Linked DNA regions of Ovis aries. Each later gene encodes a partner of the first gene's protein in a complex. Links are inferred from orthologs where the notes say so. Each region holds a gene or a part of one and is shown on either strand. Other genes may lie near its edges.

Region 1 (4,327 bases):
TTTCCCCAGGAAGCTTTACAGCATTCTAACAGAGATTGACTGGGTCACGGGTGTTTGAGAAGGGCTGCCTGGGGCTCCGTTTACTAAACTTTCTTGGGGTTTCTGCCTTAGGAATTCCCTAAGGATGTGATTACAATCTCCCTGTCTAATTCTTATGACAAAGTAAATTTGGAATCTAGGGGTTGGCCTTCTCCTAAGGATCGGAAAAAAACCAATTTTCACTCCAGGATGGAGCTTTGGGGCATTTATCTTCTGGCTCTTTTTGTTGAATGGAACTTACGGCATTTGGGAGTGGACCACCTTTCCAACGTCTCCCCTTAAGAGAAAAATATTTAATTCCAAGAGTTGGAAAGGAAATAAAACAAATTCTCTTCTTGTTGCTAACATCCAGTACCTGAGATCAGAACCAGTAAAATGGGGATTAGAGGGCCAAGGTCCGGGATTAGAAGGGATGAGCCCCAGCGGGAAGTGCCCACAGGTTGGTGACCTGGGGGGGTCCCTTTGACACCCTTGGGCTGTGGCACCCCATCGACTGACTGCGCGGGTGGGCCCGCGCCCCGCAGCGTTGAAACCAAAGTAGGGAGAGGTTGGATCGCGCGCTCAGCATTTTCCCAACTGCCGAATCCCAGGAGCCTGCCAAGCTCCCAGCTCTCTAGGGATGCACCCCCGACCCCCTACGCCAGCCAGAGCCCTCCCGCTCCCAGCCCCTAGACAAGGGCGCAGTTTACCAGCGGGAACCGCCTCTGGCCCACCGGCAGGAGGATGGCAGCATTTTTTTTTTCTAATGCCATCAAATTCAATATTTACAAGATCAATCCCATGCTTGGTGCTAAAATGACTGGCCACCCAAGAAAGAGTTTACTTCTTATATAAAGAAAAACCCAAGCTTGTGCCTTACTTTTAAAAAGAGAGAGAGAGAGAATAACAAATACAGTTTTAAAATTACCCCCCCAAATCAATTACTGCATGCGCCCCCTTTCCCTCTTGTCGGGGAACAAATACAAGCCAACTTTGCCGGGACCCATGTGCGGGTCCTAGCAGCCCCCGCAGCTGTGGCCTTGTAACTTTAAACCTGGCCTGAGGTCATCGTTTTCGCGCTGGCCAAACACAGGCAGGGGGCGGTCCTAGCGAACCCGAGACTGGGACCACCTTAGCGCGCGGACTCTCCCCGCCCTCCTCCGGAGAGATAAATGCTGACTCCGACCCGAAAGTTACCAACTGCAAAGTTTGCTTCTTCTGCGGCTGTTGCGAGCGAAGGAACTTGGGGACCCCTCCCGTCCTGGGACTTTTGCTCCCCGCTTTCCAGGCCCCACTCTCGCGCTTCATCAAGGGAAGGCCCCTGGCTACGGAGCTTTTTCATCTTTCCCCAGCCCAGAAACTAGCTGCTCGGCTCCCCACCGCAAAGAACAAGTCAGCTAAGAAAAATGTGGAAGGTGCCAGTTCTGTTCTTCATTTTGGGAAGCGCATCGTTCTGGGTCCTGGCAGAAGGAGGTAAGGCCAGCGGGCGGAGCTCCCCGAGCAGCTAGCTGGTGGGGACGAGCGAGCCGGGACTTGCGGGTTGCCGGGCCCTGGAATGTGAGGTTGCCCGGGGGAGCAGTGTGCGCGCCAGAGTCTGGAGGCCCCGGGAGGAGAGACGGCGGCTTAGCCCGGGACAGGTCCCAGGCAAAGAGCTGAGCGGGGTGCCAGGAAAAGACCCCGAATCCACAGGTAGCAGGTGGGGAGCAGAGGGTCCCTTGAGGGCGACCCACCTCCTGCCAACCCTTGCTGGCTCCGAGAGACAGATAGAAGGCTAGCAGCCAGGCGCCGTCCACCGGCGGCGCTGGGATTTTCTCCAGGGCTGTGTATTGGAGACATGCTCATGGCCTCAGAAGTACTGGCTCCATAGAATTGTGAGGGTCGGGGATGAGAGTGGGATATCCCTGTGCAGCGACGGCCTCCCTCTGGGGGCTGCCAGTCTGTAAGACAGCACGTTGGACACACTCAGGGCCGGATCAGTGGGGATTCGTTATCCTCTGTGGAGAGGATAGTGTGTGGGGCTAAGGACTGAACTGGAGGGTCCTGAGTGCACCAGTTTAATTTCCTTTGGGGCCACGTGTGGAACTTGGCCAACTGTGTCAATGACCGCGTGTTGGTGACTCCTTAGACCTTCACTTCTCTAGATCTGAGAATGAGAACACTGCTTGCCCATCACTCTCATTATCTTCTCCTTCTTCCCTCTTATTACCTCTCTTCCTCTTGCCCCTTGCTGCTGTGTTGGTAACCTCCAGTCACATTGGTCAGTGTTTTCTTTTTCTTGGGTCTTTATTTTGATCTGTTTCCACTGTAGAATATAAGCTCCTGTGGACACAGCTGTGTCTTCACCTTGATCTCCAGGGTCAAACAATACCCGGCCCTTAGTAGTTGCTCACTGAATATTAGTTGAAGTCATTGTAAGCTAACTAGGGATCTTTGGAGTTGAAGATTGAGGAAATGAAACTCTTTTACATTTTCCGAATTGAGGATGGAGGTAGGCCTGGAGCCAGAGGAATCCTGCTTGAAGGGAGGGGCTTGAAGGAGGCCTCTGCACAAAGACAATAATACCCAGCTCCAGGCCAGTGAGTGGTTCAGGGTGTGTTTCCCTTTGCGGCGCTGTCTGCTTCGTGGAGATTGAGGTGCTCTCTGTGCTGTGCGTGTGTGTGCAGTTGTGTCCAACTGTTTTGTCAGCCCATGGACTGTAAGCCAGCAGGCTCCTCTGTCCGTGGGATTTCCTAGGCAAGAATACTGGAGCAGGTTGCCATTTCCTCCTCAGGGGATCTTCCGGACTCAGGGATTGAACCCAAGTCTCCTGTATCTCTTGCATTGGCAGGCGGGTTCTTTACCCCTGTGCCATCTGGGTGGGAAGCCCTCTTTTTGCTGGGAGGTGAGCTATTCATGGCAGTCCTATCTTTGGAACTTCTCTCCAGAGCCACATACATGGCTCTGCATTTCAGTTACATTTCCTTTTTGGCCAGACTGTGCAAATGATACCATTTTGTGCTCAGCAGGGCAAGATGTGGGAGGCCCCCCAAACTGAGCCTTGTCCCAGCTCTGCTCAGGAAAGAGGGCCACTGGGTGGCATCCTCTCCCCTCCCCCAGCCTCCCCCTCTCCCCTGCAACCCTCTTGCCCCAGGGAGAGTTTAGCTGTAATTATCTTTAAGCCAATTCTGAATATCAAAGGTACTCCTAAAAAGAAGTAATAATAATTAAAAATAATAGTTGTGGCTGAAAAACCAGCCACTTCTAGTAATAGCAACTCGTTTGGGAAAGACTGAAGCACCCTGGCCCTGTCCCCCGGGGCTGTGTGTCAATGCAGAGTTACTAGGCTGCTGGTGAAGAGTTGAGGCCCAGGAGGGGTTTTGTCTGAGGATAATGAGCGAGGCAACTTGAATATGGATGAATAACTTCTTTGAGCTGAGCCACTGTGGGCTCTTGTCGGGGAGCTAAACTAGGGGTAATTATGGTGATGAATTTTATTATCCTTCTCTTAGGAGTCTACTCCCTACTGGGCTTCCCTCTTCTAAAGTTATAATCTGGTTCAGTTGTACAATCTCGTCCTCTGGGTTGAGATGTCCTCTGGGTCTCTTGAGATGTTAGTGGATTTAAAGGAGCTCAGTGGTCCACACATCTGGCATATTCCTCCACTGTCAGGCCCCACCTTCACTCTGAACTTTCATCTAAGACACGTACACAGGCCACTCCATGAGATCGTTTATTTCGTGAAATTCTGCAGGCTGCTGCTTCCTGAAAACCCGCATGTGCTTTTTCCCGGACCAGTCCACCCAGGATTAATCATGCTATGAACAAATTTCCCTGTGCTTTCCCCAAAACTCTTGCCAGTTTCGGAGGCTTGGAGTTGCTAAGAGTTTTGTTGCACTTAAGGTATCTCAGGTCTGTTAGAGCCTTCTCGAGGGAGGCTCTGATGACACTGACATGTGAGATCCAAGATAGCATTTAATATAGAAAAGCACATTTCTAAAAAGTATCCTCGTGTGAGAAGGCTACACTGGGACATGGCAAGAGGGAGGAACCCAGGCTGATCAGAGGTAGGCGATGGCCTGCCCCCCCCCTTCCTCTGGCCTCTGAAATGAGTAACCAGGGAGTAAGTATATACCGAGAATTACAAGGACCCCCAACCTTGGCATGAAGGTGGATGGTGTGACCGAGCGGGAGGGACACCACCTCTCTCCCATGCCTATCTCCCACCACATGCCAGGAATGTCACGGTTCCCTCATTAAATCATCATGCATCCTTAAATTATACATTATTATCTTCAAAATATGCCAGATTCCAAAAACAGCCTTAACTCCA
Region 2 (3,814 bases), on another chromosome or scaffold:
GGGCTCAGCCTCATAGAGAAGATACTCAGATAAATTAATTTCTTTCAAGTCAGACAAAATAAGAGAGTGCCTTAAAATCTCAATTCTATTACAAGAAGGTTAATTAGAGACTAAACATGTCTTCTCAAGTCTTATTGCTATAGGCAAATATCATGTTGAAGATGTACAATTAAAAGAAGTAATGTAATTTTGGAGGAATAAAAAATAGTTGAATTTTGGGCAGAACTTCAGGTAGAATCTGTCAGTTCTATAGTGAAGTATATATTGCGGATGTATTTTAAAGAAAAAAAAGTTAATAGACACATGACAAGTATCTCACATTTAAGAAATAAGTGACTCTCATGAAATCTCTCTCATGGAATGCCGTCTTGTGCTTCATGTTCCTGCCAAGATGCTCAAGCCATTTTTATTTGCCAAGAGCATGTTCTCATCTATTTTTTCCTGGGAGGTATGCGAGCACGTGAACATTTGACTTTCTTCTAATTTTGCTACCCATAGATTGATTGATTGATTGATCTATCCATTAATTCAACACGTTCCAGGACTTGAACCTGTGTGTTAATAAAACCTACAAAAATTCGTAGCTTCATGGAACTTTATTCCAGTTGGAGCAACAGGCAATGAACAAAATAAATAAGTATTACTGCATTTAGTCACTAAGTCATGTCCGACTCTTTGAGACCCCATGGACTGTCGCCTGCCAGGCTCCTGTCTATGGGATTTCCCAGGCAAGAATACTAGATGGGTTGCTGTTTCCTTCTCCGGGGGATCTTCCCAACCCAGGGATCAAACCCCTGTCTCCTGCATTGCTGGTGGATTGTTTACCACTGTGCCACCAGGGAAACCCATATAGTACAGTAAATAGAGATAATTTCAAAGTGAAAAATTGTAGATGTATGTTATTTGTAAATCCTTTTGAGAAAGACATCTCTTTTATCCAGTCAACTAAAAAAAATTGATATTTCTATATGAAGATTTTGTAGACAAGCTAAGCAATGAAACCAAAGCAAGCAGAGCTTAATTCTAGGGAATATAAAATTTCATCAACAATGTATTTTTCATTTTCCTTCTCATATGTGGTACTTTATTTGGGATTCTAACCTTCAATTGATGGAACATAAACATATAGGATTATTAGAATATTATCTATCTTGTTTACAGTTTTTCCCTATCCTACAAGTATTTTTATGCTAAAACAAGTAAACTTGGTATAATTCTAAATATCAGATATAATCAGTTAGCATTAATATAGACATATAATCCATTGTTTTGTCCAGAGTCTTATCATGAAGTTTTTCCTTTATACCATTACACGAACTGTAGAAACACTCTGACCGTTATAATTATTTGTGTTTGCAATAGCAATATCTCAATAGCAGGACTGGATTAATTCGTTGGATTGGATTGTCCCGCCAGAAATCCAGTGACGTCTGGAGGTGGGAAGATGGCTCAGTTCCTTCCGAAACTGTGTAAGTCATTGGACACTCAGAACACAAGGCACAACTAGGAATTTTTATTTCTGAGATCCTCTCTGCTCTTGAGTACAAGTTACTTAAAAGCTGGGAAGTGGCTCTGTGTTATACTTGGTGTTACAAAGGTGATGACTGAGTTACTTACTCCCTAATCCTAACAAGAGAGTGCTTGCAATTAATTAGATTCTATTTTCCGACTCTCCCATTCTCTGCTTTTCATCTAAGTCGTAATCCACCCCATTCCTGATACTTTTTTTCCCACTTGTTTCTACCCTTAACTTTACCATTGAGCATTTTCCATGTGTGTTTGGTTTGGTTTTGGTTTTTTGTTTGTTTGTTTGTTTGTTGTTTGTTTGTTTGTTTTTGTAGTGTGATCTGATTCTCTTCACATATTTTGAGAACAAAATTTTCATCCTTATAGTTTATAGTTGGAACGTCTTGAGTCTTTTTTTGACTTTTCAGTATCATTTTCCCTTGTCTTCTACCTTAGGGGGTTTCCCTGATAGCTCAGTTCGTAGTGAATCCACCTGCAATGCAGGAGACCCTGGTTTGATTCCTGACTTGGGAAGATCCTCTGGAGAAGGGATAGGCTACCCGCTCCAGTATTCTTGGGCTTCCCTTGTGACTCAGCTGGTGAAGAATCCACCTGCAGTGAGGGAAACCTGGGTTCAGTCCTTGGGTTGGGAAGATCCTCTGAAGAAGGGAAAGGCTACCCACTCCAGTATTCTGGCCCTAGAGATTCCATGGACTATACAGTCCATGGGGTCTCAAAGAGCCGGACATGACTGAACGACTTTTACTTTCTACCTCAGAGGTCTCCAAGAATCAGGCACATTATCAATTACAAGAGGATTCTAAAGTCTATGTCAAAAGGCTCTAACCTTCTACAGACAATCCAGGCAAAAGGATCAATTACAATACAATTACTTTACAACATTGTAAAGTAATTAACCTCCAATGAAAATAAATAAATTTATATCTGAAAAAAATAATTTTCTAATCTCCAGTCACCTTTGTTCACATTGTGCAATGTCTCTCCATTTAAAATGTAAATTGACGACCCAAACTTGCATAATTAGATCTTACTTAATTTTTAATTAATTCATTCAACAGATACTTATTAAATTTTTATTATGGACAGAACTCAAGAGTATTAGGAGTACAAGCAAGCTTCTTCATAGATCTGGACTTTACATTTATTGCTTGCTGACTTTTCACAATAGTTCAGGCACACTGGTGACCCCTCTGTTCTTTCAAAAAAATTAAACATGTTTTGTGGTCTTAGGGTTTTGTACCTGCTGTTTCCTTCTAGAATCCCCTCCTCCGTGGCAGGCTCCCTCTTGTCACTCAAGTCTGTTTAAACATCATTTTCTCAATGAGACCATCTTTAATTACCAAACTAAACTAGCCTCCCTCCACCGCATCCACTCAAGTCTATCACATCACACTGTTCCATTATTACTTTTACCAGTCTCTGAGATTTTCTTTTTATTTGTTGACTCCTTATCAACATTCCCTCACTACAGTGTAAGTTCCCAGTAGAAAAGACCTTATGTTTTGTTTATCCCTCTATTAGCAGCATATGAACAAGTTTGGCATGTAGCAGGTATCCCATGCTCGTGCTTGTGCTTGTACTAACTCAGTCGTGTCCGACTCTTTGCGACCTTATGGACTGTAGCCCACCAGGCTCCTCTGTCCTTGGGATTCCCCAGGCAAGAATACTGGATTGGGTTGCCATTTCTTCCTGCTTGGGATCTTCCTGACCCAGGGATGGAACCTGAGTCTCCTGAGTCTTCTGCATTGGCAGGGGGGATTCTTTACCACTGAGCCACCTAGGTATCCCACAGATATTGGCAAATGAATTAATAAATATCCATTCTTTGTCCTCTTGTTATAGCAGTGTAGCAGGAAATATAGGCAAGTGAACAAGCAATTATAATGCAGTCTTATATCTGTTACCCTGTAACATAAATCCTCATTTCAAAAATAACTAATCGACTTACTTTTCCTTGAGCTCATTTCCACCCTGTGTAGGTACTTGTCCGATAGGGCTTCTCTCAATCTAAATTCTACCCTTCTTTCAAAACAGAACTAAAGCATGATCTTCCATGAAAAGACGAGAAAGTAAAGCCTTTTCTCATCATTTCAGATCCCCATCCATCTTTTCCTCTGGACTCTTATTGTACCTACTGTTCACTTCTACTTAATCTTAAGATATATTAAATTGCCATTGTGTTATTCACATGTGCACACTTTGTACTCCAAAGCAGGCTGGAAGTTCCTCAAAGATCTGAATGTTGCTTTTTATTTTTTTCCCTCATACTTCTTATCTTCACTTTGTG

Evidence for each region.
Region 2: the proteins of PDPN (region 1) and CLEC1B are in contact, whole or in part, in a crystal structure (PDB 3WSR), measured with the Homo sapiens proteins. The link is inferred for Ovis aries from reciprocal best matches to the Homo sapiens genes PDPN and CLEC1B. Residues at the interface, in NP_006465.4 of Homo sapiens: Ala46, Glu47, Asp48, Asp49, Val50; in NP_001380271.1 of Homo sapiens: Arg107, Phe116, Arg118, Arg152, Thr153, His154, Leu155, Arg157.

Annotation. Positions count from the first base shown.
Region 1 is NC_056065.1:53,312,406-53,316,732, reverse strand, and holds the start of PDPN (podoplanin), read left to right. Parts: upstream 1-1,216; 5' UTR 1,217-1,424; coding exon 1,425-1,491; intron 1,492-4,327. UniProt on the Homo sapiens protein: Mediates effects on cell migration and adhesion through its different partners.
Region 2 is NC_056056.1:205,424,056-205,427,869, reverse strand, and holds part of CLEC1B (C-type lectin domain family 1 member B), read left to right. Parts: intron 1-1,362; coding exon 1,363-1,469; intron 1,470-3,814. UniProt on the Homo sapiens protein: C-type lectin-like receptor that functions as a platelet receptor for the lymphatic endothelial marker, PDPN.